Elephas maximus indicus: one gene and its partners. The protein of the gene in region 2 interacts with the protein of the main gene of each other region in a pairwise test. Links are inferred from orthologs where the notes say so. Each region holds a gene or a part of one and is shown on either strand. Other genes may lie near its edges. The genes, in order: HMG20A, DTNB, ZBTB9 and SPZ1.

Region 1 (7,346 bases), on a different chromosome or scaffold from region 2:
CATCCATCCACCCCCTCCTCCATATCTCTCATCATTTCTCACCAGAAATGGCTTCCTAACTAATTTTGCTTTGTGTTGCCTTTCCCTAACCCAGCATTCACTGCACTGCCAATATAACATAGGTCTAAAACACAAATCTGATTCTATCACAGCACAATGGAATTTTTTTTCACTAAATGCTGAGCTTTTAAAACTAAGTTCCTTAAAACTGTGTCTACCTATGGCTACTTAGTATCTGACATGTCCAAATTGAGATGTGCTGTAACTATAAAATACACACCAGATTTTGAAGATTTAGTGTGAAAAGAATGTCAGTGTCAGTAACACTTTTTATATTGATTACAGGAGCCCTGATGGCACAACTGTTAGGCACTCAACTGCTAATGCAAAGGTCAATGGTTGGAACACACTAGCAGTGCCACAGAAGAAAAGACCTGGCAATCTGTTTCTATACAGTTTACAGCCTAGGAAACCCTATAGGGCAGCTCTACCTGCCCTACAGGATTGCTATGAGTCAGAATAGATTCAGTAGCATACAACAACATATTGATTACATGTTGAAATGACAATATTTCAGATATGTTGGATTAAACAAAATACCGTATTCCATACCCACTGCAGTCGAGTCATTTCTGACTCATAGCAACCCTACAAGACAGGGTAGAAGTGCCCTATATTAATTTCACTTTTTTTTTTTTTTTACTTTTTTAAATATGGTTACTAGAAAGTTTAAAATTACATATGTGGCCCACATTAGATTTCCATTGGACAGTGCAGGTCTACGAGGCCCACATTAGATTTCCATTGGACTGTGCAGGTCTACAATGTCCTTCCGCTCTTTCTGAGCTTAGTTACTCCTACCTACTATTCAAGATTAGTTCAGGTAACCCACTAAGATGCATTCCAGGACACTCCCTAGGACCCCAAATCTGAATCAGCTACCCTTTCTCTGTTCTTCCATCCACAGGAACCTGTGTGCATCCCTGTCATACATCACGCCATATTATAATTATTAAAAACTATCAGCTATATTTCCCCCACTAAACTATAAGCTCCTTGCAGAAGGAGATCTCATTCAACATATACTCAGGGCCTACCACCATGCCTGGCACTTAGAAGGAACTCAAAACATTTGCCAAATAAATATGAGCTACTTATTCTGGCCTGAAAATTCACAGAATTTCTCATTCTCCAAAGAGTTTCCCAAGGAAAACAAACAGGCAGTGAAGGAGACTAGACTTTCTCAGGACCTCTAGTCATGAAAAGACTGGGGGGCGGGGAGAAATTACCATCAAGACATCAGCAATAAGAAAATTAAGTGCATGACACACACCTGCCTCTTATAGTGAAAAAAGGGGTTTGCAGCAGTGATGTGAAGCCTTGAACTCACCCTTGGCATGCCAGGGGCCACAGTTTGGGTCCTAAATTACTTAAACAATCCATCCAACAAGAATATGATTTGGCAGGTTTCAACACAAACAGCTAGAGCCCACCACCTATTCCACTTTAACAGTACATCACTACAGTTAAAAAAAAAAAAAAGAAAAACTCTCTCATGAAATAAACGCTAATCTCATGATGCTGCACCACGGAGCAATTTAGAAGAGTTATTATACGAAATGTGCCAAAGCATGAATTTATGGCTGATGCTTATTTGGCAAATATGGTTGGCACTGCTAGATGTTGAAAAACATGCATGCAAATAAGCAAATAAAAGTTTTTAAGCTCACAGACTTAAATATTTACATTACCATAAATGTACAAAGATAAACGTTTATATGAATACATATATAATGCATTCCAGGAACACATTTTTTAATGTGATTGTCAGGAAACAGTTATAAAGTGGTATTATTTCTTTACAGGCCTCAGGGTAGATTCTTAAAAGTGCATTCCGACAGAATGTTAATGGGGTACGAACACTTCATGGCAGTTTCTCTATGGTATCGCTGGGTAAAATGAATAAAAAAAACCAAACCCAGTGCCATCAACTCGATTCCGACTCATAGCAACCCTATAGAACACAGTAGGACTGCCCCATAAGAGTTTCCAAGGAGCACCCGGCAGATTCGAACTGCCAACCCCTTGGTTAGCAGCCGTAGCACTCAACCACTACACCACCAGGGTTTCCGTAAAACGAATAGTCATAGTATAATAGTTCAAAGCAATCTTATCTTTTCCTTTCCCAAAAACACTTCTCTTCCCATCCTGGAGCCTAACCAAACACAGATGTCAGTCCCTAAGTGGGGGATGGAGGGGACACAACCTCTACACATCAAAAAGCCTTAAAGAAAATAATTTGACATTTTCCCACATAATATAATCATATTAAAGTCTCCAAAATAAAGACATATTTCCCTCTCTTCCTCTCTGACATCTATGGAAAGATTATTTGTTTTTTCGCATAGTTTGGGAGCTTGTCATAGCCAAAACTCACTAGCAATGGCATGAATTCTGCTTCCATTGTTAACCATTAATCTCTGCGTTGAGGCTATAACTCCCATCTTTGAAAGCAAGAAAGTGTACTATACCTGCCATTAGTTTACTAAATGAGTCACCAAAGAGAAGAAGTGCCAGATACTTCAGAAAGTAATTAGGGCAGTCAGTGAATTGAGATATCTAGAAATGCTCTGAGATTACAGGAGAAGCCATCATGAAGCAAGTAGCCAAGATTGCTCCTGGAAAGTTTTACCCCTGTGGATAATTGACGTTTTTCACTTCCACACTGCAGAGAGCAATATGAGTTCTCCTGCCACAGACACTATAACACACATCACTTCTGTGGGTGAATAATAATCAGTAAGCAGGCCTCAAAACAAAAACCTCAAGACAATCCCAATTCAGGTGAAAAGCTGTTCATATACATCATCCAAGGACCTAAAAATAGTCTTTCATGTAAGTCTCCAAGTATTCAATTCAAAGTATAATCTTACCACATTTAACCGAGACAGAAGATAAATGTAATAAAGATGAAATCATAGTTTTCCTCTAACTCATCACTAACCCCTCAACGCCAGCCTTCCAATAACCCCATTCCACAGCTCTCAAATTCCCGAACTTGAATCTTAAAAAAACAACCGATTGCAAGAAAGTAACATTTAAGGGGGGAGTCCCTCTTTCCTGTTGCTCTCAGCAGTCTTTAATGTAGTCACAAGATGAAAGAGAAAAGCAACCTTTCAGGCGGATGGTGCCTGCGAAGGGGAAATTCTGGGCAGCAAGTCCTCGTCGAAATAGGAAAGAAAAGTTGCAAGAAAGGATGAGTCAAAGGGCAAAGGAGAAACAAACGGACCAACCGAACCACTTAAATCCCTCAAACCACTGAGTCAACCAGCATGTTGGGGGCTCACCAGCCGCTGCGCGAAGGGAGCCAGCAGAGAGCCCCTGGGTTTCGTCCTGACGCGGCTGGGGAGGTTGCGCCGGATCCTCCCCGGTTTGGGAGCGGGACGACCGTGCAGACTTAGCAGGAGCGAGAGAAGCCCTTCCTGCCCCAGCCTCCCCCGCGTACAGCTTCTCCAGGCTTCGCTTTCCCCCGCAGCTTCCCAGCCGCGCCCGGGGCGTCCTTCGCCGCCAGGTCCCAACTTTCCCTCCTCTGGGGGGCGCCGCGCTACCGGGGCCGCCGCCGAAGGAAGGGGAAGAAAGGGGCGGCCGGGGCGCAAGGGGGCGCGAGGGGGCGCGCGGCGCCGGCGGGCCCCCGAGCGGCGGGGCCACTAGGGCCGGCAGCGTGCGATGGCAGCCGCAGCCGGAGAGCCCGCGCCGGGCGGGACGCACCAGCCGCCCAAGCCCCCGCGGCGGCGCCAGCCAGACCCCCGCCGCCCCGCCCGGATTCCCCCGGGTCAGCGCCCTCACCCCGCGGAGACCCTGCTCCCACCAGCCGGCGTGTGAGAAGAGGCGAGCGGAGGGACGCGTGCAGCCCTGCCCCCGTTACCTGAAGGGCGCACACGCCGCCGCGGGGACCACCATCGCCGGCTGTCCCGTCCCCTTCCTGGCGACCACGGCCGCCGCCGCCGAGCAACTGACACTGACTAACAACAACTAACTAACTACTCGCCGCCGCCGAGTCCACCGCGCGCTCCCGGCCGCTCGCCACCCGCCCAGCCCACCAGCCCGCCCGCCTCCTCCCAGCCCTGCGCGCCGCCCTCTTCAAGCTCTGCCCGGGAGCGAGCACGCGCGCGCGCCCAGAGCCTCGGCCTCTCGCCCCATCGTCTGTAGCCTCAACCCCGTGGGAGGAGTCGCCGCGAATCCCCTCCTCTCCGGTTCCCACCGTCAGAGGGTGAGACGTAGAGAGCGCTCGATTGGCCGAGGGGGGCGTGGCCAAAGCCAGAGGGCAGGACGACCGGGACCTTAGCGCTCGTGAGGGGAGATTTAGATTCAATTAAGTTCCAGAAGAAAAACAGGACAAAGTTATTGGCCTATTTGAGTTCCGAATCTTCTTTGTCAGCCTGCCGTCGAATACATACTCTGTGTTTTCAAGGACTCCAGAGTGTAGTAATAACCAATTCAAGTCCCGCTACTTTCTGCGCCTGTTAGCGATAAAAGCGAAACTACAACTCCCAGAAGCCTTCGTGAACTGAGTCTCTCTGTGCGTATTCACGTAGTCCTTCGCCGCAATTGAACAAAATAATCCCTTCATCTTTCTGAAGGTATCGGAAATAATATTTCATTTTTCTACTGATCGGGACAATTTTAATTGTTACTGTGATAAGAGAAGTTACCTATAGGAAGGTGATTAAGCGATTAGGTAAAAGGGAAAGAAAGGACACCAAATAAAGTGCTGCGGAGGAATCTTTGTCAAACTGTGAGAGGACGGCGTGCGAAGAATGAAGGCGTTTGAGAGGGGCTGAGGGAATTGTCCTCTGTGCGAAGGACTTTCTTTAGGCCCCAGGCCCCTGCCTGCCCTTTTCATCAGCAGGTCAGTAAGCAAGGCGAGGCTGGGGGTGGCCGTAGTTGAGGTGCCCTTCTACGCTTGAAGATCATGCCTCTATTGCCGTTGTTGTTATTGGTTTGCCTCGGTTTGAGACTAACTAAATGGGGGCGCCTCACTTCCGGTTGGGGGAGGGGAGGAAACCTGTCATGGGGGAGGGGAAAACAACGCATTTCCTGTGGGGGTAGGGGGATAGTTTGGGGTTGTGGAACCCGCTTCCAGGTCGGATGAGGGCTTAAAAAGGTGGTGGGTGGTGCTGTTTGCATCGATGATATCTTAGAGTTTTGGGATTGTGTTTTATATAAGAAGTTACGTTGTCCCACCAAGTCGTGCTAATCACCCGCCTCCAGTTAAATGTGTTTTATTTCCACATGTAAGATGGGACATTTCCTCCCCAACAAAATTTTCTTAATGTATTCTTACTTCAAAGAATATGAAAACCCTTGTTAAAATTCCCTAAGCGACGGCGTGTTTTGCTTGTGTGACTCATGGATTGTCCACCCATGCTCCCGTACTCAAGTCCAACCTTGACTGAGTGAGGGATGGTGGTCTCTGCCTTGACATGCCTCGAGAACGCTGTAGCTACTCTTTTAAGGAGACGGTGTATTAGAGGATTGAATCTTTCATAAATTATAAGGCATTTTTACTTCGCCAGAGGGAAAGTGATATAATGAAGTAGTGAAATATTTGATGTTACCTTAGCTAGTATAATTGGCATCTTTAATTCTTAGATTTTAGGCTACAGGTTTTGTCCTGTGCCTGAGAACAACTTCCTCAGCCTTAAAAATTCTTACACGTAGTTGACATGTAGTATTTGTGCAAGTTGTGTTTCAATTCATTTCCCCCTTGTAATCGAAATTCACCGATTTAAAAATGATATCTGTTCTTTGTGGTTTTGAAGCATGGTGCCAAAGGTCATGAAACTCAGCTCAGAATTTAAGGAATGAAAAAAATGAACACAAAAAGGGCAAAAGATAAACAAGAATGAACTTTATATTCCTATATTGTCATTTTTTTTCTAGGGAACTATGTAAAGTGGAATAAACACTCAACAATTCTGATTCTTTAGCTTCTGTTGTCAAGGATCACAACACTTGTTCTTGTGTATGTGCTGAAGAAATCTACTTACTAGGAGCTTACTTTGTAAAATCTCAATGATTTTAGTAATTTTGGAATGGATATCTATTGAATGAACCTGGAACTATAACGTCTTTCAAGAATTTTTTTTTTTTAATTTTGTTGTGTTTTAGGTGAAAGCTCACAGTATAAATTAGTTTTTTATTAAAACATTTATACACAAATTATTTGTAGCATTGTTTGCCATCCCTGCAGTGTGTCAGCACTCCCCCCCTTTGTCTTTCCACCCCGGGTTCCCCATGTCCATGTGTCCAGTTTTCCTGTCCATTCCTGCCTTCTCATCTTTCCTTTTGGGTAGGTATTGCCCATTTGGTCTCCTATATTCGAATTCCTCAAGTGTGTTATTACTTGTTTTATAGGCCTGTCTAGTCTTTGGCCAAAAGGTGGACTTCAGGAGTAGCTTCAGTTTTGAGTGAGCAGGGTTTCCCGGGGGCCATAGTCTCAGGGGTTCCTTAAGGAATTTTTTTAAAGCAGTAAAAGCCTGTGTGTTTTTTCCTTTGGAATTGTTAATCTATCTTCAGAATTTGCAGTTACTTTAATTCTAGCTTTTAAAAAGCCATTTGGTTTAGAGTTGATTGTGCAATAATAACACCCAAAGCAAACAAACCCGTTGCCATTGAATGGGTTCCGACTCACAGTGACCCTATGTATATAAATGTTACAGTAAGGAGGAAAAATACATTTTCTAATCTTCTGTAGACTTAAAAGAAAAAAAAAACAGCTTAAGTCTCTAAAATCAATAAGTTAACTTTTGAAAAATCAAAGATCTGCTTCAGCAGCTGATTGAACAGGCAAGACAAAATAAAGTCTGCATTAGGTTAGGCACATATAGACAGGGCTACTTATAGTCTAGTCCAAGTAAGTATCAATAAATTAATTAGAGAGAGGTATTCACTGTCTTCTTTATCACTGTAATGTAGAAGACAATGCACGGTTACCCCAGCAAATTATACTATTTTTTTTTATTGGGAGTTATCGAAATATGGAAGGATTATGGAACTAAATGAAAAAGATTTTTTTAATTCTTTTAAAATATCGATTGAGATACTGCAGCATTGCCTTTTGGAAACTATCTTTGAAAGGCAAAGGAGTTTATTAAATTGGTCTTCATGACATTCTATGGAAGAAATTCAGTATAATAGTAATAAGAAAAATTGCTGCAGCTAAGACTTTAGCAGCTTGAAGAACTGTCTGTTCATACGAAAGCAATATATAAAACACATATCTGAAAGAAGCTGTTTTGTTATAAGTGGCGGTTATTCATTGGTTCCATCAAAGTAGAAATATT
Region 2 (7,309 bases):
ATCTAATAATTAACAATAAAATTTCAAAATGAGACAACTCATAATTTTTTATGATCCACACAGTTGAACGCCTTTGCATAGTCAATAAAACATAGGTAAATATCTTTCTGATATTCTCTGCTTTCAGCCAAGATCCATCTGACATCAGCAATGATATCCCTCATTCCACATCCTTTTCTGAATCCAGCTTGAATTTCTGGCAGTTCCCTGGTGATGTACTGCTTCAGCCGCTTTTGAATGATCTTCAGCAAAATTTTACTTGTATATGATATTAATGATATTGTTAGATGATTTCTGTATTCTGTTGGATCACCTTTCTTTGGAAGGGCACAAATCTGGACCTCTTCCAGTCAGTTGGCCAGGTAGCTGTCTTCCAAATTTCTTGGCATAGACGAATGAGTGCCTCCAGCATTGCATCCACTTGTTGAAACACCTCAATTAGTATTCTGTCAGTTCCTGGAGCCTTGTGTTTTGCTAATGCCGTCAGTGCAGCTTGGGCTTCTTCTTTCAGTACCATCAGTTCTTGATCATATGCTACCTCCTGAAATGGCTGAATGTAGATCAATCCTTTCTGGTACAGTGACTCTGTGTATTCCTTCCATCTTCGTTTGCTGTTTCCTGCATTGTTCCATATTTTGTCCATAGAATCCTTCAGTATTGCAACTTGAGGCCTGAATTTCTTCCACAGTTCTTTCAGCTTGAGAAATGCCGGGCATGTTCTTTCCTTTTGGTTTTCCAACTCCAGGTCTCTAAATGTCTCATTATCATACTTTATCTTCTTGTGGTACCCTTTGAAATCTACTCAGCTCTTCTACATGGTCACTTCTTCTGCTCACTTTAGCTACTCTATGTTCAAGAGCAAGTTTCAGAGGCTCTTCTGACACCCATTTTGGTCTTTTCTTTTCTTCCTGTCTTTCGAATGAACTTCTGCTTTTTTCATGTATGATGTCTTTGATGTCATCCCACGACGCATCTGGTCTTCAGTAATTAGTGTTCAATGTGTCACATCTATTCTTGAGATAGTCTCTAAATTCAGGTGAGATATACTCAAGGTCATATTTTGGTTTTTGTTTTAATTTTCTTCAGCTTCACCTGAACTTGCATATGAGCAACTGATGGTCTATTCCACAGTTCAAGCAAAATAAATAAATCCATACCTAAACATATCACAGTAAAACTATAAAACATCACTAATAAAATTTAGAAACTACCAGAGACAAAAGACTGGCTATCTACAAATAAATAACAAGTAGACCAATAGCAGACTTTTCTCAATAACAACAGCAACAAAAAAGCCAGAAGATCATAAAATAGTGCTGAAGGAAAATAATTTCAAACTAGAATTTTATAAATATCAACATTGACATCAAACAACATAAATCTTAAGGGAAAAGGCATTATGAGGACAAGGAAAGACACTACAAAATTATAAAGCAATCCACCAAGAAGGTACAACAATCATAAACTTACATGAGCCTAGCAACATAACTAGAAATATATAAAGACAAACTAAGAGAATTACAAGGAGAAACTGATAATTCTACAACCACAGTAAGTGGTTTTAATATAGTTATATACAAAATGGATAAATTAAAAAGGCAAAAAATTAGGTGGGATATAGAAAAATCACAAAAAACTAATATGCTTATCGAACAGTAATATGGAACCCTGCACCCAACAAATAGACAATATTCATTATTTCTAAATACATGTCAAAACATTTATAAAAATCGAGTAAGTCACAAAGGAAATCACACTAGATTACAAATAATCATTTCCATAAGGCCACTTTCTCTACCACAGTGCAATTAAAATAAAACCCAACAATTAAAAAAAAAATTAGTTTAAAAAAAATGTTTGGAAATTAGAAGATATTTTCCTAAATGACTCAGGGTTAAAGTGGAAATCATAAAGGAAATCATCACATATTTAGAATCAAACAATGCAAAGAGAGTATACAATCAAAACTTGATACAGGAGAAAAGTAGTACTCAGCAGAAACTTTGTATCCTTAAGTGCACTTATTAAAATATAAGAACATTTTTTTAATTAATGCATTGATTCAACTTATAAAATTAGAAAAAGAACAGCAAACATAATCTGTTTTCACTAGATTATGTTAAGGGAAAAACAATCCCAAAATCTCAGCAGTTTACAGTAACAAAAGGTTATTTCTTCTTACGATACATGCAGGCTGAAGCAGCTACAGGTCTCTCTGGCTCTGCTCCACACGCCTTCGTGCCAGGGTAAGGCTGAAGGAGCAGCCCCTGTTTGGAACACGACATTCTCCTGCCAGAGGGAAAAGTACAAGAGAGCTGGCAGAAGCATGCAATGGCTCTCAAAGCTCCCCTCTCAGAACCAGAATTAGCATCTTCCACTTCCATTCAAATTTCATTGGCCAAAGCAAGTCACGTGGCCAAACCTAACAATGAGGCCAGGAAATACATGCCTCCCACAGGTAAGCTCTTCACGTGAGCAAGTAACCGGCAGCAGTAATATAATTTACCATAGTATCCTTGGAACCTATTTTTATATCAATCAACTTTCTTTAGGTTAAAACTAGTAACAGCCAAAAATCTTAGTGGCTTAAACAAAGACTTATTATTTCTCATTTGTGATACATGTCGGCTACAGGTCAGCTGTGGCTGTCTTCCATGTAACATCTTCATTTAAATTTCAGACTGAAGGAACATACACTATTTGGGACGTACCATTCTCAAGGCAGAGGGAAAACAGAAAGAAAACTGGTGGCTACATGCAATATCACCTCCATTCATTTTTCATTAGCCAAAGCAACTCAAATGGCTAACTATGATATCGACACAATAGAGGTATCTTCCTTCCCCAGAAGATACTGGCAATCTCATGGCAAGGGCAGGGGTGTTTGTCTGTCTTACAGGAAAGGAGGGCACAAACAGATACAACCTATCTCTTACATTTTACCATAAGAAAATTTTAAAAATCTAAAGCCTACCTCTAAGTTGAAAGAAGGGAAGAATATAAGAAAGATAAAAGAAGAAATCAATTAAATAGAAAATTAAGAAATAGACTAAATCTGTTCTTTGAAGGAAAAAACTAATTACAAATAAAATTCAAGTCAAATGGATCAAGCATAAAGAAAAAGAGCTAATCAACACGGGGGGAATAAAAGAATTACAGATATGGCAAAGATTTTTTTAAATCATAAAAGTATGTTACATATATAATTAAATAACATAAATATGTCAATATATTTCAGAATTTAAAGCAGATAATTGTTTTAGAAAAGGATGACCAAAATTGACTAAAGAAAAAAATATAAGTAAACCAATAAGCATCAAAAAAACGAAATCTGTAGCCAAGATGTCCCAACTACCAAAAAGATAACAGGCTCAGAGAGTTTGACTTATGATAGAGGTGGCTGTCAAATCAGCAGGGGAAGGGATATCCTCAATTAAAGAGTGCTGAAAAACTAGTTACGAAATTGAAAAAAATTCTCTCTCTTTGTTACAGCACACACAGAAACAAATTCCACGTGAAAAGCAAAATTTTTAGAAGAAAATACCAAAACCAAACCAAACCCTGTACGGTCCAGTCAATTCCAACTCATAGCGACCCTATAGGACAGAGCAGAACTGCCCCATAGAGTTTCCAAGGAGCGCCCAGCGGATTTGAACTGCTGACCCTTTGGTTAGCAGCCGTAGGACTTAACGACTACACCGCCAGGGTTTCCAGAAGAAAATACAGGACTATATAATTCCTACTCTGTGATAGAGAAAACTTTCCTAAACCAGACATGAAAATTGAAAACTTGTACACAACAAAGGGCATCTTTAACAAGGGGAAGGACAAGACTCAGACTGGCAGGATGCATTTCCAAAACCCATATCCATCAAAGAGTTAGTATCCAAAGTAGCCTAATTGACCCTCACCGAGTAAAAGGGAACATAAACTGTGATGAAGTCTACAGGTGAATACTCTCTGCAGTCAAAAATAAGCGAACCAGATCCAAAAGTAGCAACATGGTTAAATCTCCACCAATTAAAATTTAAAATCTGCGCCACCCCTTTGACCCAGTAATTCTACTTCTTATTCACTGCAGCAATGCGTGAAAAAACAAAAGACTATAAACAGCTTAAATGCCCACTAGTGAAAAGAGGATTAAATAATCTACAGTGATACAGAAACCCTGGTGGCATAGTGGTTAAGAGCTACAGCTGGTAACCAAAAGGTCGGCAGTTTGAATCCACCAGGCGCTCCATGGAAACTCTATGGGGCAGTTCTACTCTGTCCTATAGGGTCACTGTGAGTCGGTAACTGACTAGATGACAGTGAGTTCGGTTTTGAGTTAGAGTGCATACATGCTACTTGAGAGATTAATAGTTAAGAAGAATTAGGTAGATCCCTCTGCTCCAACATGGAAAGACCTCAAAGACAGTCTATTAGTTTAAAAAAAGTTGCAGAACGATTGGTATGGTATGATGTCATTAACGTAGGTGGGGATCCCTGGTCTTTTCTGTATTACCTATAAACCAAAAAAACCAAACCACTGCTGCTGAGTTGATCTGACTCATAGCAACCCTATAGGACAGAGGAGAACTGCCCCATAAGGTTTCCAAGGCTGTAACCTTTATGGAAGCAGACTGCCACATCTTTCTCCCATGGGGCAGTGGGTGGGTTCAAACTGCCAACCTTTCAGTTAGCAGCTGAGCACTTAACCACTGTACACAGGAGGGCTCCTGTATTACCTATGGGCACATGAAAAGGCAAAAAAAGGTCTGGAGGGAGCACAACAAACTGATAACTGTACTTTCTGTGGAGAAGGGCGTGGCTCAAGGAGGGTTTTGTTTGTACAATTTGAGTGTTTCACAAGCAAGTGTGTATTCATGAGCCCTTAGAAGTGTTGCAGCACAGAGCCACACATATTGTGTACTACACAACTCCAGGAGCGACTCTGATGAAAATGAAAAAAAATTCATTGCCATCGAGTTAATTCCAACTCATAGCGACCCTACAGGACAGAGTAGAACTGCCCCATAGGATTTCCAAGGAGCAGCTGGTGGATCTGAACTGCCAGGCACTCGCTAAAGCTGGGCTGTATACAACCTGCACAACTAGATGCCACAGTCCTGATACTCGTGTAGTTACAAATACATGAAACGTGGGGCTAGGTCGACTTTCTCGGATGATGGCAGTGTTCTACATATTGACTGAGCTAGTAGTTACAAAGTATAAACATTTGTTAAAACTCATCCAACTGTCCATAGGAAATCTGTGCATTTTATCATATACAAATCGTACATCAATAAAGTCGCTTTAAAAATAAATGTAAATAACATAAATAAATATCATACCATTAGGGAAGCCTGGAACAAGACACCCAAAATTGCAGGACCGAGGCACCCGAAAACAAGAACTAGTAGTTACCCTGAAGTGCAGCCCTAGAACTAAAGAGAAAGTATCTCTTCATGACTTTCTCACCCACTCCAAATCTTAGTGACCCTATAGGATACAGGAGAGCTGCCCCATAGGGTTTCCAAGGTTATAAATCTTTAAAAATGTAACTGTGAAGCAGACTGCCACATACGTCACCCGCAGAAGGGCTGACGCAGTGGGGCTGGTGGGTTCGAACAGCCTGCCTTTCGGTTAGCAGCGAAGCACTTAACCACTGTACCACCAGGGCTCCTCAATGCCAAATTTGGATTAATATTACATGAGGAAACTAAGGTATTGAGAGATATATATTAAAGATAGAAAATAAGCAAATAGTAGGTTGAAATTCTACTGGTTCTAAGTCTAGTTTTCTAGACTGAGTAGAAATTTCGTCTCTCGGGCATAGTGGTCACTCAAAGACCTTGTCAACGCTACCTTGACTGCACAACCCCCTGCAAAGGCAGTACCACTCACGTATGATAAAAATTCACACCCAAGCTAAAATCCACTGCCATCGAGTCAATTCCAACTCATAGTGAACCTGTAGGACAGAGCAGAACTGGTCCAAAGGGTTTTGAAGGCTGTAGTCTTTATGGAAGCAGACTACCACATCTTTCTCCCTCGGAAAGGCTGGTGAGTTCAAACCGCCAACTTTTGGCTAGCAGCCGAACGCTTTAACCACCGTGCCACCAGGGCTCCTCAAAATCCTAACAGAGCTCATAAAAGGTCAAGTTTTATTTTGGCAGACAAAGTAACCCAACAGGCATTGCAACCCAGGAAACGGAAACAGCAGCCCTGAGCTCAAGAGTCCAAAAATCCAACCAAGACAGAAGACAGGTAGAACTGACCCTCAAGAATAGCAGATCTAAGATCTGTAGATCTTACTGCAGATCTAAGACCCAAGAACCAAGATAAAAATGAAAAAGTGTTTTCCAAACAAAAATGTTTTTCTTCTTCCTCAAGTGATAGAAAAAGGAGAGAAGAGCCACAATAAAAAAAATCTCAAGCCCAAGAAGCAAGCTGCTCACAGCCAATATGCAATAAGCATGTGAAAGCAGGAGAATGGCCACAAGAAATCACGACTCCACCACTGCTTTAACATGCCCTGATCTAAGAACCTGGGTGATCTCATATGGCAAAAAAAAAAAAAAAAAAGGAACTTGAGGGACCATCAGTCTTCCTAACTGGAGAGTGATCAATACTGCTCAGACTAAATGTGTATCTTCATTCACCGCACAACTCTTGTGGACCAGGCACCGTCCTGGTCAGCTTCCTTTCTGCTGTCAAATTTATTTTTCCCCTATGCCCCTTTAAATGTTAAGCAAAAGAGCTTGCGAAACTCAAATTTCTCCCATAAACTTTTTTGACCCTTCTGCTTTATCCCCAAAACCAAGCAACTCATGCCTCCAATGACCCCATAGTAGGATGAAATAAAACAGACCTAAAGTAAAAGGTATGAGACATAAATTTCAATGCTGCTGTGTATTTTATACGGATACCCTCACAATCAAATTGTCAGCGCCTAAATAGCAAATCCTGGTCGTGTTTAATACTGTTTTGTAGCCCCAGTGCTGACAATGGCTCTCTATCCACAGTAGCTAATCAATAAACGTTTGCTAAGCGTGCAAGGTCTTCTTTCTTAATCCCAACGTCTGGCACAGAAATTTAACAGCAAGCATTCGCTAGCTGCATCCTGCTCTATCTCAGGACACTTTCCTTTTAAGGGTGACCTCGGTGAACAGGTTTACTATTAGGCGCCTCGGGAAACAGTGCTTTGGGGTGATCTGAAATAAATTCCCTTCCCTCTGCCAGGGCCTGCCTGCCTTACCTGCCCTCTGCCAGGACCTGCCTCTTTCGCCCCCTTCGGCACCTAACGCAGAGCCTCTTCCTCGCGAGC
Region 3 (7,999 bases), on a different chromosome or scaffold from region 2:
CAACATGAGCTATCTCAGCCCTGAGTCCTTCTGCCCACTGCAACTTGTTCAGAGTGCAGTGGTGCTGCCCTGGCAGCATTTAGGTCGGTGGCCATCTCCTGAGTCGACTCACATTTCAGTCACTGTGATTAGTATATGAGGGACCAGTGGTGGTGACAAAGGCAGAAAAGAGGCACAGGGTAGTGAGGGAATACCCTCTCTTAAAGAGGGTTCAAGGAATGACACATGGAATGCTCAGTGTGTTAAAGTGCTCAACTACAATATAAAAAATAAAAGTTGGGAAGGTATCTACTAGTAAGAAAGTAAGTTACGATCAGAGAGGCTTCTGGAAAGATACAACAAAATAGGTACAGAAAAAGATCTCTGCTCACATCATTCCAGCAGTGATGAGGGAAGCTTAGAGCTTAGTCATCCATTTACTCAAACTCTGAATCAAGTGTATCTCTACGTAGACACTGGTTCTTTTAACCCTTCACAGAGACCGAATGTAAAATTTATCATCATGTCTTTTTGCTCTAACTCATCTCTCACCAAATAACCCTCTGATCTGAAATTAAGTTTCTTGAATGGACGCCACCACCAGGAAAGGAGGGTCCATTATGGGCAAGTGATCAGTTTAAATATGACCTGTAAACCACCTTCCTATCAAGTGGTTAAGGAGCCCCGGTGGTGCAGTGGTTAAGCACTCAGCTGCTAACCAAAAGGAGGGCAGTTTGAACCCACCTGCCACTTCGCAGGAAAAAGATGTGGCAGTCTGCTTCCATAAAGATTTATAGCATTAGAAACCCTATGGAGCAGTTGTACTCTGTCCTATAGAATCGTTATGAGTCAGAAGCAACTCAATGGCAGTGGGCTTTGGTACAGGGTGGTTAGCAAAAACCCGGGGTGAGATGAGAAATCTGAGTTTCCAAATTGCCAGGCTGAGGCCCACACTGAAGACAGAGGTTATACACAGACCCATAATGTATCTACCCTCTTGACATGATTACAAGATCCAGGATTGAAGTGCAATGATAGTGAGGGGTGAGTATCCATCAGTAGCAGTGGCTCTCTTGTCCTGAAAATCAGTGTATGGCCTCAGAAATCACTTGTAAGTCCAGTGGGCAGTGGCCCAGCCCTGGCCCTTGCATAAGTCCTGATGGCGAAGGAAACAGGCATGGACTCTGAACCTACGGCCACAGTGGGGACAGGCGTGCAGGGCTCCAGCATGGGTCTTCATGTGCTCTGTCAGATGGTGCTTCAGCTTGAAGCGCTTGTTGCAGACGCCACAGCCAAAGGGCCGAAGGCTGAAAGTCAGCATGATGTGCCTGTCCCGCTTTGGCTTCACTGCAAATCGCTTCCCACACAAGCAACCAAAGCGTTTTCCATCTGCAGGGGGTGCCTCTCCTAGTTTCACAGGCCCATGCACAGCTTGCCCTGCTCCCCCAGGTCCTCCACCTCCTGACAGGATTTCATTCCCATGAAGATCCACTGGTTTCCAGGAGGGGCCTCCTCCCCCAGATGGTGCGTCTGCTCCTGAGGGCAGCAATAATTCTAACTCCCCATCTCTTTCAGTGTTCCGAGGGAACACTTTGGTCTCCTCCTTTGTTCCTCCAGACTGAGTTCCACCTCCTAGTATCTCTTCCTTAAGCTCAAAGGGTTCCTGCTTTATGTAGAAGATCTTGAGGGGCAGTGCAGTAGAAGTGGTAAGAGGCTCTGACGGAGCACTCTCGCCCTCTGGAAGCTTGCAGGGAGTAGTGGATTTTGGTGATGGGTGGGATCCATGAAGGCGGGGGAAATCTCCTGACACTCTCTGAGGCTGAGGAGTCTGCGAGAGTGCTTCTGACCCCTGGTCCTCATCTTCTTCTTCTTCCTCCTCCTCATCTTCCTCTACCTGAATCTGTAATACCTCTCCCAGTTCATTTCCCTCCCCTACAACAGGACTCTCCACAGAGGGCGATGACTGCACTGGGGTCTGGAAAGGGGGAGATCGAAGGCACCAGCCTCCTGCAGTGGATGTAGCGGAAAGAACTGAGCGGTATGGGGTTGCTCCACGGGCTGAGAGTCCACCACCTGAGGCTTCTAGTTCTTTAAGAACCTCTGAGCACTGATCTACTACTTGCCACATCTGGAGGCCACTGGCCACAAGGAGGTGGGCAGGCAGAGCATCTAGTGGCAGGTGGAGGCGTCCTGAGTAAATGAGTTGAAGTAGCCCCTCGAAGGCGTCAGCTTCAATGACATTCGGCAGGGTGAGACGCGGTGCATCCCCCAGAAGAAGCTTGTCATGGAAGTAAGGAGAGGCAGCAGCCAACACGGCTTTGTGAGCCCTAAGTTCCCGACCCTGCACCAGGAGAGACACATCACAGAACTTCCCCTCTAGCCTGTGGCGGTTCAGGGTTTCCAGCAGCGATGAGCTATGCTGAGGAAACTCGATCTGGATTGTCCGTGGAGCTGGGTTGCAGACGGGGGAGGGGGCCACAGGCGGCAAAGGCGTCGAGGTATCCATGGCCTCCTCGGAAAGAGAGCGATCCCAGAGGGTGGCCAAGAGGAGAAAGGGGGCTGGGGAGAGATCCCACGCGGGATGAAGGCTGTGGAGGAAAGAGACGGGGGGTCACAGAAGCCCTGGATAAGGGGAACCATGTCTCCTCAAACAACTACCCTCCAACATTTGTCAACTTTTCAGTCTGTGGAGGTTTTGGCAGATTAGTCCCGCACACTTCCCCACCAAGAAAACAAAAAAACAAACAATAACGACAAGTTACCAACCGGGGTTGTAACTTCCAAGGCCTGCGGAATAAGATGAGGAAGTCTCTCATCCACGAGCCTGACCTCGCCAGCTCGGGGTCGCTCCTGCCCCGCCGCTCCGTCTCCCTTCACGGTGCCCGAGGTCGGCTCCGGGGAGGCCACGGCCAGCAGAGACCGCGGGGCCCCGCCCGGCTGCCCTGCCCGCCGACACACCCCCACCGGTACACACGCGGTGTGGACCTAACAGCGCATCCGCAGCTTCAGCGCGGTCCTGGGCCGGAAGTCGCCGCCTCCTCGCCGGACGCCTACGCCGAGTGCAACCAGCAGGCTGGGGCGCCAGCCAATCGGAGGGCGGCAGTCTACAAGCCTGGTATTGACTGGTTGAGCGGGTGAGAGGGGCGGAGCTGGTGCGGTTTCTGGCCTGGCGCCTGGGCCGAAGAGGTGGCTGGGGGACGCTGCCGACTCGGTACGTGGGGGAGCGAGTTGTGAGTCGCCCCGGAAAACTGCGTTTCGTGGTGATGGAATGTAGCGCCCGGCCCCCCATAGGGGCTGAGAACGGCGAGATTAATTGGGCACCTACTGGGAGCTAGATGCTTGGCCACATCATCTTTTATCTTCCCACCAGCTCCTCCACGTAGGTGTTTACATCCTCGGTTTCCATGCAGGAAAACCGAGGCTGGAATAAACTCAGCTGGCAAATGGTGGGCCGGGAACTGGAAACCAAATTTCCTCCATTCCGCACAGGAGCGTTTTCACCAGCAATGAATTAAACAACCCTTATTTCTGGTAATTATTTTTTACTAGGGGGCAGTGGTGGTTAAGTGGTAGCGTTCTTGCCTTTCACGGGGAAGACCTGGGCTTGATTCCCAGCCAGTGCACTTCAGGGCAGGCACCATCAATGGAGGCATAGTGTTGCTTTAATGCTGAATAGGTTTCTGAGGAGCTTCCAGACTAAGAGTAGGAAGAAAGACCTGCCTATCTAACAAAAACCAGCCAATGAAAGCCCTATAGGTCACCAACTGGCCGATCCACAACTTGATCATGGTGATGGTGCAGGATCAAGCGGTGTTGTGTTGTGCATGGGGTTGCTATGAGTACGGCCAACTTGATGGCAGACAGTTTTTTACAAAGTAGTTTTTTTAGGTACATGTACTTGGAATCTTCTATCAGGAGCCCCTCCCCTCCTCCATCTTTGCTCCTTCAGTCTAAGTGGAACGGTGGGTGAGGGCACACTACATTGGGGAGGTTTGACTAGTCCCTGCAAAACCCCTACTCTTCATAATAAAAAAAAAAAAAATTAAATCTCCTTGCTGGGTGGGAGAGTCATTCTGTGAGGATTTGTGCACTCAGAGAAGGATAATAGTCATTTCTCCAGACTGTTAGTCTCCTCTCGAAAAGCAGATCCTACCACCCTGCTGGTCCATCTTGAGGGCCTCGCCTAGGAAAGTCAGCACAGCAATAAAAGAACAATCTCTGTTTATTAAACATTTTTCTGTTTCACCACACACTCCAGAAAAAAAGGAAACGGGGCTGGGAGTGGAGAAAAAGGGACTGTGATGGGGGATAGAGAAGGCTGGGAGTCATGTGGGGAGGGAGAACGAGAAAACAAAATAAAACTGGTAGGAAAAGCGTCCCCTACCCTTAGGATGGTGGGTGGGGAGGGAGTGGAGGGGGGGGGCCGGGAAGCTCTGTACAGAGGGGTTGCCCCCAGCCCACACGCGCACACACACACACACACACACACACCCTGGATATATACAGTACAAACCCCAGATAATTACAACAGCCAAAGAGGAGAGGAGGAACAGGGGTCCAGGGGTAGGGCCTGAGGTGGGAAAGCAGAGGAAAGGGCACAGGGATAAAATTTCACATATTTACAACTTTTATATAAGTATAAATTTGGCCCCGGCTGGGTGTATGTGTGTAGGGAGATGGGTCTGAAGGGGAACTGTCCATACAAAAGAAAGGGCGGAGTCTGGGAAGAGTCTCAATACCAAACGCAAAGGATGTGGAGGCAAGGCTAGGTAGGGGACAGCAGTTAGGGAAGAGGGGGTGCCTAGGAGGGGCTTCTCCCCTCCCATGGCCTACCCACCCCAAACCCCATCCATCCTACCTCCCCTATCCCGCCAGAGAGCTATGTACAGAGAAACACCGAAAAATTCTGGAGCTGGCGGGAGGGAAGGGGGAGAAGGGAGATTGGGGGGTAGGGAGGATGAAAGGGAAGCACAGCCCTGTCCTACCTCCTCCCAGGGGACACAGTCATGGAAGGGGGCCCCCCCAACACCCCTCCTCCATCACAGGTCCCCCCCACCCTGGGGGGAGGGAGACATGGCTTTTCCTAGAGTAAGTTCCCCCCTCCCCCTGGGAGTAGAGACCAAGAAGAGAGAGGGGAGGGGCAGGGGGACTGTATGTGAGGATATGGCAGGTAAACTAGTCTGTCCTCCCCCACATACACACCGTCCTAAACCCCATCCCCTCACTCTAACCTCAATTCCACCCCACCCAACACACTGGGGGAGGGGGGGGCATGAGCCCCCTCACCCCGCTCTGGGACCAGCCGAGAGCAGATCAGGTGTGGGAAGAAGGGAGACAACTCCCATTCCCCCCTTGCCGCCCCCTCCCTGCCCCGGTGGCCCCCTCCACCCCATCTGGGTTCTGGGTGGGAAGGGAGTAAATTTAAGAGTGGTGGGAGGAGAAGGAGTTTGTGCGTGCTGAGCCCCCCCAGACGCTCCTGAGAAATCAAGGGGTAATAGGGCCCCCTCACCCGGGGTCCCCTCCCCATAACAAGGGGGGCAGGGGAGGCCAAAATGGGGCGGTGGAGGGGAGTTAGATTGTCAGCTCTGGTTACTGCTAAAAAATCACCCTGAAGTTGAAAGTTTGGAGGTACCACACCCCCAGGGTGGGGGCGAGGTCTGTCCCCCAGTGCTCAGGGGAACGATGAGGCAGAGGATGGGGATAGCACCCCGGAGTGAAGGGGTCTGTGTGGGGTAGGTGGTGTCCTAGGGCTAGGGTCCCTGGGGGTCACAGAGGGGGCAGCACCCCGACAGGTAGGAAAGGGAGCAGCTGAGGGTCCCCACTCTCCCTTCTAGGAATGGTGCAGTGGGGGTAGGGGATCGGTGCTCCCCAAGGAGGCATCCAGGGAGGCACTCCCGCTGTCCCTCGGTGAAGTCCAGTCCTGGTGGTTGGTGCTGTTCCGGGGTGGAGTGCATGGGCGAGGAGGAGGATGGGTCGGTGATGCTGGGTGGGCTAGTGGTCTGCGGTGTTTCGGAACTCGCCGTTCTCGGTGATCTGTAGCCGGGGTGGGGGGGGCGGGGCTGGGGGGGCCAGGCCGTTCCAAGGTGGGGCCAGCGTCACACGCGGGTTTGTTGGACCCAAGGGGGGAAGCTGCCTCTCCTGCAAGATACCAAAGAGGAGAGCGCGGACTTATTGAGACGCTTCGCGGGAGCCTGGGTGCCAGCCCCCTAGCTGTGGCCTCCCCCATAGCCCGACCACTCCACAAGCCATGTCCCACCCCCTCCCCCCAGGACAATCCCCACCATCCTGTTTTGTTTCTCACCTGCAGTAGAAGTTATGTCCTCTGGAGTCAGGGAGAAGAAAATCTCAACCCTAGACTCCTAACTGGGGCCTTCAACCCAGGGAGTCACACCAGGAAACCAGCTCAAAAGAAACAAGTTCCTACCTTTCCCCAACCCAATCCCCTCTATCTTTACCGCATACTCCCTGCCCAGCCCACCCTCCTTCTCTTGGGACCCGCCTCCCAGCCCACCCCGAAACCCGAGGTAGGAATTTTGTGTTGAGGGAACAAGGGGAGGCAGTACAGCAAAACCTCATTAATCCAAACCCCCATGGATTTGGAATTTTTGTCATAATCTGAACAGAAACTGGGCTTGAGTTTTCCTTTATCTCTGAAGAAAGGGTGTGCTAAGCAAATTATGGTGGAAATGCATCTGTAGGAGGGAATATTTAACCTATACCAGAAAACAGACTTTTCAATCCTATCTATTCATTAACGCATGCTCCCTGAGGGCCTCGAGTGGAAAAAGCCTTGTTCATCAAGTTCTACTTACTGTATGTATTTTGAAGACATGCATTTCATTAAATAGACACTGTCATTCAGTTTTGTCACTTATTCAGAGTGGCCATCTTCTCAAATATAACATTCCAAATTAGAGAGGTTTAACTGTACTGGGGGGAAAGGAAGGGGATTCAGGGAAGTGATTTGGAAAGGGAAAAATGTTGTGGGAGGGATTGCCTCTCTCACACTTCTGGCAAAAAACGACTAGAAGCTTCTGCAGAGACACAGCATGCCCCAATCTCTGCATCCCCAGGAAGCAGAAACTGGCTCCATTCCTTTCCACCCCCATCTTCTTTTTAATCCCTCTCCCTGGGATCCCAGCTAGAGAGTGAGAGGTACCAGACCCTACTCACTCCCACCTCTGGTCCTATTCTCATCTCCTCCTACTAATCCTGGACCAATTCTTGCTTCCTACCCTCAGCTGAGAGAGAGAAAGAAAGCCATCTGTACTTCTGGGTCACTCACTCGGGTTTTTTAAAATACAGAGTCAAAATTAATTTTAATACTTTCATCTAAAGCACAATAGAAAATTTTTTTTTTTTTTAATTTTTTAATAGCCAAGTCACACAGGGACTGATACCCAGAAGTGGTTTCAAACAAATGTCCAAATTGTTTCCAGGGCCACAGGGCATTTAGGCCTGGCAAAGTAGCTATGCCTGACCATATCCTCCAAGAATACAAAAACATTCCAAGTAAAGGCTCCCAGATGAGCAGCTCTCCCTTCCATCCCAGGATCAAAGAGCTCAACTCTCAGTCACCAAAACCCCAGCCTTGAGCAAAGCTGCCCTCTTAGCTGGCTGGGTGTATCACACACTTTCTCCAAGTCAGCGAGAGGAAATTACGTATGCTAGGGTATCCTGAGATGGCGGGAGAGCAAGGAAGGAAACCTCAGATTCCCTTCTCTCTGCTCATCTGCTGGCGACAGCACTTAGGCATGCCCCCTACACCCCCGTGGACCCAAATTTAGAAAGTAGATAAATTAGGGTGCCATTATTCATTTTACAAAAGAATTCACTGCAGGAGTCCTTTAAATGGTGAGGTCCCCTGGTGCCTTTTAGCATCTGTTGACAGATCACTAACTACTCTGACAGAAAGGCTGGGCAGGCAGAGAGTTAAAATTACAGTGTGAGGAGCCACACTGCCCACTGCAGATCAATCCCACAGAAAATAAAAAAAAAAAATAAAAATAAAAATAAAGCA
Region 4 (5,771 bases), on a different chromosome or scaffold from region 2:
CCTAACTTTCATTTCTTTGTATCGCTGTATCTTCCTCTCCATATGGAAGATCTATGATTACGTTTTCTTAGTTTCTCTTTATTGTTTTAATGTTGTCTTCTTTTATACAATAACATCACTGTTACCCTGTTTTGAGCTTTTTTTTTAAAATCTTGCTTAGTTTTTTTGATTTCCCTGCCTGGGTTGACTTCTGATTGCTCTGCCCAGTGTTCTAGTCTTGGGTTAATACCTGATATTATTGATTTTCTAACCAAAGAACTCCTTTTAGTACTTCTTATAGTTTTGGTTTGGTTTGGTTTTTATGAATTCCCTAAACTTCTGCTTATCTGTAAACGTCCTAATTTCACCTTCATATTTAAGAGAGTTTTGCTGGATGTATGATTCTTGCCTGGCAATCTTTCTCCTTCAATTTTTAAATAAGTCATCCCATTGCCTTCTTGCCTACACGGTCCCTGCCAAGTAGTCCAAGCTTATTCTTATTGGCTCTCCATTGTAGGTGACTTTTCGTTTATCCCTCGCTGCTCTTATAATTCTCTCTTTATCTTTGGTTTTGGCAAGTTTGATTATAATATGTCTTGGTGACTTTCTTTTAACATCTACCTTATGTGGATTTCAGTGAGCACCTTGGATAGATTATCTTCTCATTTTTTGTGATATCAGGGAAGTTTTCTGGCAACAAATCTTCAACAATTCTCTTATATTTTCTGTTATCCTTCCCTGTTCTGGTACTCCAATCACTCGTAGGTTATTTCTCTTGATACAGTCCCACATGATTCTTAGGGTTTCTTCATTTTTTTAAATTCTTTTATCTGATTTTTCTTCAAATACATTAGTGTCAAACGTTTTATCTTCAAGTTCAGAAATTCTGGCTTCTACTTGCTCAATTCTGCTCCTCTGAATTTCTATTGAGTTGTCTACTTCTGTAATTTTATTGTTAATCTTCTGAATTTCTGATTGCTGTCTACAGATTTTTCCACCTTATTAAATTTTTCATTATGTTCCTGAATAATCTTTCTAATTTCTTCAATTTGCTTTATCTGTGTGTTCCTTGGCTTGTTCTGTGTATTGCCTCATTTCCTTCCTGATGTCTTGAAGGGTTCTGTATATTAATCTTTTGTATTCTGTCTCTGGTAATTCCAGGAATGCAGTTTCATCTAGAAGATCCCTGGATTCTTTGTCATGAGAGCTTGTTGAGGTGATCATGGTCTGTTTCTTTATGTGACTTGATATTGACTGTTGTCTTCGAGCCATCTATAAGCTATTGTATTAGTCTGTGCTTGCTTACTGTGTCGTAGCTTCTTGCTTTGTTTTGTTTTGATATGCCCAAATGGGTTGCTCAAGTGAGCTAGCTTGATTATCTTCACCTTTGGAGCTCTGACGTCCTGTCCCCAGATGGCTAGAGCTGTTGTTAGGTATATCAGTCTAGGAGTCCATTCACTTTTATTGTATGAATTCAGCTCAGTTGTCCAGGTAGCTGATCATCAAGTGTGTGGCACAGGCTCTGTCCTACAGTCTTAGAGGGGCGGGGTAATTGGTGTATATACTGCTATCTGATTACAGCAGGGGATCACTCTCTGAACAAGGCAGGGGGCTGAGAGCTGACCCCAGGTGTCTCTGAGGAAAGCGCGTCCCTGTTCCCTCGAGCATGCAGGTGGGTAGGTTCTGCAGATGGACCATGGTCACCCAAAGTTTTTGGTTGTAAGGACTGGGAGGTACCAGTTATCCTTGGACCCCTGTCATGGGTGGCTGGGTGACCTGAGTGGAGCTACTAGTCCTTAGGTCCCTGATGTGGGTAGGTGAGGACACTGTTTAATAGGCAAAGAAATGTCAAATATCAAACACCCGTCTCTACACTGCACAGCTGAAACAGTTGGAGTCTTCCAACAAGGGTCTAGTCTCCTGAAATAGGCCCACACAGGTCCATGCAGAGGGGAAAAGTGCTCAAAGTCCACAGACTGTTTATGCCTGGACAGGAGCTGCTTTTGTCCTGAGCTTCCCCAGTTAGTGGAGCTGGCAAATTGTCTTTTCCCCCAATTGCATTTTTTTTTCCTTCTCCAAGGACAGGAGGATGGCTCCAGGTGCACAACTGGGCCTATCTCAGGCCCAGGGAATTTAGCCACTGAAGCCGGCTTGGGGGTCGGGGGCATGCTAAAACATACGCAAGTACTTAGCTTTTGGCGAGAGTGCCATTCTTCCCTGGTTCCAGAGGTGTGAGTAGGCTGTGTGGCTGGCTGCTTCTCCCTGAGGAAATTGTGGCCAAATGCTAGTCACCAGCCTGCTGCCACCACCACCTGGGAATGGTGCCTGATGGCTCCCCACGATTCAGGTCTGGTAACTCCTCTCTGCTTCTGAACCCTCTTTTCCTCCTCCTGCCCTTCTGTTTGTTTTCTAAGCTTGGCTTTGATGCTCAGGGCTCCTAGCCTGTCATAAATATACTCATTTCACTTGTTTTTTTGGGTCTTTGTTATAAAGAGGGCTTGCCAGAAGCGTCTGTCTATCTGCCATCTTGGCTCAGCCTTCCCCATAGAGTTTTCTAGGCTATAATATTTACAGGAGCAGATTGCCAGGTCTCACAGAGCTGCTGTGTGAATTTGAACCTCCAGCCTTTTGATTAGCAGCCAGATGTTTAATCATTTGTGGCACCAGGGCTCCTCAGTACCAAATCAGAAATGTCTCCTTATCCTGGAAATTAAAACACAAAACAAACAGTCTTAATTGATTCTTTAGTCAAAGGGGAAATATAAGCCAAAGTGGGACCTTGTGAGACAGAATTGAAGCATAAGGGCAGTCCCCAGCCCCTGTGGAATCATTGGGTGAATTAGAAAAGGTGTTCCCTCTTCAAGTAAGAAAGATCAACACTGCTGTACCTGTGGATAGTCAGATTACCGCTCCAGGGCCAGCTGGCTGGGTGATGAGCATGAGGCTCAGGGAAATCAAAGCCAAAGTCAGTTGGTGGCTATGGAAGAAAAACAGATACATTTCTCTCCTCTTAGGAAAAAAATACTATTAGAATATGAATTTTCCCTTAAGATTGGAAGCAAACTTCTAGTTCATAAAATGCTTGCTAGCAAGATTTTTCAAGGCCAACGAAAGATCTCAACATGTGGGGCGTTTTTCTTGATTGAACTTAATGTTTTTAAGATCCTGACTCTTAAGGACCAAAAGACAAAAATACGCTAGGTTTAATACTCTCCAGTTACTTTTCTATAACCCATTATATATTTAGCCCTTTCAAACACGTTAGATAAATTACGTATGTCGTTTTAACAAGTTACTGTGAAAATAAGTGATTAAAGTTTTATATCACTTGATGTAAATAATTTAGGAGTAAGCTTACTCAGCCTGTCTTAAAGGATACCTGTATTCAAAGCCAAGAGAAGTCCTAATTTTTAATTATGTTGTTAAAGAATCATTTGGATAGTCTCTTCCTATTGCATTACAGTATATTGTAATGGAGTTATTCCCCCTAAAATTACAAACAAATACTGTAATTTTTAATTCTGTATTGTTTGGATAACTTTCTTTTACAGTAGCATCTCTCCTAGAATGGGAGCAACAAGGTCTCCGGGTTCCTTGGGCTATGCACTTAGGTGGCAGAAAAACAGGTGCCACGGTGGAGTTTGGAATTGTGGGTAGTGGGGGTGAGATAGGGGAGTCACTGAAAACAGGTGGAATGAGATGAGTAGAAACCTAGAAAAATAAGGTGAGGAAGGACTATCATAGAGGTCCTTCTGGCATGGGAGGTAGAGGTAGCTCAAGGTTGATTTTGATGCATGAGTCACTGGGCAGGAGTTTAAGAGGCTTCCATTGTGACACGGGAGACAGAAGCTGGGATAGGCTATGATGATGCTGTGACAGAATAAAGACCTGGTTGCTAGGGCCAGAGATTAAACACCAGAAGGCTGGTGGAGGAGATGGAGCCACAGCTCCTGGTCCCCTTTCCCACCCTCCTTCACCCCAGGCTGTCTGAGATGTCATCTTCCACCTAAATATCATCTCTCCAGTTCCCAGTCTTCACTCTGGTCTCTAGCTTCTGCTTGGTTCCACATTCTCTACATACTTCCACAGGGGACCTACACCTTCCCTTCCTGGGATCTCTTAAGGTTTTCTGCTTTCCTCTTGCCCTGATTGCCAGCCCTGCTAATTCAGCTGAGATGGAAGCACCCACCCTGCCTGAAACCTTTAGGCTTCCTCCTGATCTTCATCAAGAGTCTTGGGACCCTAGGATGATCATCGCCTTATTTGAAATTGGATCAATATCCCTTTTCTTCTGGAGTTCTCTCCTTTCTCTAAAGAAGAATAGCAATCAAATTTCTGAACAACTGACTGCACAGAAGTTTGAAAAGGTCTTAAACAAAATTGAAGGTATCCTTAAAAATATTACGGGTTTTGAAAAGACCACAGATGCAATAGTATCTTTTGAGGACACCACTGTTTCTGATGATGCCTCAGAACTTAAAGAAAAAATCAGAAAACTTGACCAAATAAATAAAACACTATTCAAAAATCTGCTTACTAGTTTAGACCCAGAGAAATTCCAGAGTGCAAAGAAACAGGAAAAGATATTGGAAAACCAAAACTCCGAGGACACGGTACATTTTGCAAGGGATCTGGTAAATCATTCAGAAGAAAAAAGAGCCCTTAATGAAACTCAACCAAGTAAAGAGAAAGCAAAATATGGATTACTTCATGCTCAAGAAGAAAATATCAAACTTAGGAACAACATGGAGCAGTTACTACAGAAAGCAGAACACTGGAGCAAACAACATACTGAGCTCAGTGGACTAATAAAATCGTATCAGAAATCTCAGCATGACATAAGAGAACTTCTTGAAAATAATGGAGTCCATTTCCAAATCCAACCAAATAACAAGATGTCAGCTAATTATGAGATGGAAGAACAAGTGAGGAAATTGCAACATGACACTTACTCATTGCATTTGACTGCAGCTTTATTGGAGAATGAGTGCCAAATCTTACAACAGAGAGTAGGGATTCTCAACCAACTCCATTATGAGAAAGAGAGAGCGCAGACAGACAACGAACAGGGCAAGAAAGAAAAGAAGCCATCAGAAGCAGAAAAAGTAGGAACTCATAAGCAGAGAATGAAACAAATGGAGGGTACACTTCAGAAAAGAGACAACTTTTATATAAGGCTGGATGTTTGTCGTAATAAGAAAGCTCACAATAACTGGTTCAATTCTCGTATTGCAAGAAGAGGCCTTGTGGGAAAAAAGAGGTCAGCCAGCAGACCAAGATAGAAAATACCAAAAGTAAAAGAAGAGGCAATTCTTCAAAAAGTTGTATACATCCAACTCCAGGCACGAGCAATCATCAAACCTAGGTTAGATTTCTTGGATTAACCAAGAAAGAACTATAGAGCAGGAAGACTAACACACTATTCATTACTTCAGTAATTATGTAAGTTTGGTCTTTAATGATCATTAGTGCCAACATTAAGTTCATAATTTGCCACCTTTGCAATCTGCTTGGCTTTTATAGTTAATAGAGATCTTATAATGCTTTAATCAGGATTAGAATTTATCAGGTCAAATTAAGTAAAGATTTAAATAAAAATCGGGATGAGCCAAAGAAATTATTTATTCTTTATTAATCATTACCTGAAGGGAAAGTTTTGGAAAAAGAAAGTATAAGGTTGTTTTTTTGTTTGTTTTGATAATATTTTTTGTATTTTCGGTGAAAGTGTACACAGCAAACCAGGTTCCCATTCAACAATTTCTACACATACTGTTCAGTGACATTGGTTACAT

The links.
Region 1: the proteins of DTNB (region 2) and HMG20A interact in binary tests that used the Homo sapiens proteins (3 or more experiments, as listed by UniProt). The two-hybrid records come from large-scale screens. The link is inferred for Elephas maximus indicus from reciprocal best matches to the Homo sapiens genes DTNB and HMG20A.
Region 3: the proteins of DTNB (region 2) and ZBTB9 interact in binary tests that used the Homo sapiens proteins (3 or more experiments, as listed by UniProt). The two-hybrid records come from large-scale screens. The link is inferred for Elephas maximus indicus from reciprocal best matches to the Homo sapiens genes DTNB and ZBTB9.
Region 4: the proteins of DTNB (region 2) and SPZ1 interact in binary tests that used the Homo sapiens proteins (3 or more experiments, as listed by UniProt). The two-hybrid records come from large-scale screens. The link is inferred for Elephas maximus indicus from reciprocal best matches to the Homo sapiens genes DTNB and SPZ1.

What each region holds. Positions count from the first base shown.
Region 1 is NC_064831.1:66,143,581-66,150,926, reverse strand, and holds the start of HMG20A (high mobility group protein 20A), read left to right. Parts: upstream 1-4,342; 5' UTR 4,343-4,909; intron 4,910-7,346. UniProt on the Homo sapiens protein: Plays a role in neuronal differentiation as chromatin-associated protein. Acts as inhibitor of HMG20B. Overcomes the repressive effects of the neuronal silencer REST and induces the activation of neuronal-specific genes.
Region 2 is NC_064830.1:43,591,078-43,598,386, forward strand, and holds the start of DTNB (dystrobrevin beta), read right to left. Parts: upstream 3,021-7,309; 5' UTR 2,329-3,020; coding exon 2,183-2,328; intron 1-2,182.
Region 3 is NC_064819.1:96,273,140-96,281,138, reverse strand, and holds the start of ZBTB9 (zinc finger and BTB domain-containing protein 9), read right to left. Parts: upstream 3,009-7,999; 5' UTR 2,796-3,008; coding exon 2,746-2,795; intron 2,568-2,745; coding exon 1,085-2,567; 3' UTR 1-1,084. Other genes in the region: SYNGAP1 (ras/Rap GTPase-activating protein SynGAP), read right to left, coding at 5,971-6,117. UniProt on the Homo sapiens protein: May be involved in transcriptional regulation.
Region 4 is NC_064820.1:85,365,214-85,370,984, forward strand, and holds SPZ1 (spermatogenic leucine zipper protein 1), read left to right. Parts: upstream 1-4,154; coding exon 4,155-5,261; downstream 5,262-5,771. UniProt on the Homo sapiens protein: Transcription factor that binds to the DNA sequence 5'-CANNTG-3'(E box) and the G-box motif. May play an important role in the regulation of cell proliferation and differentiation during spermatogenesis.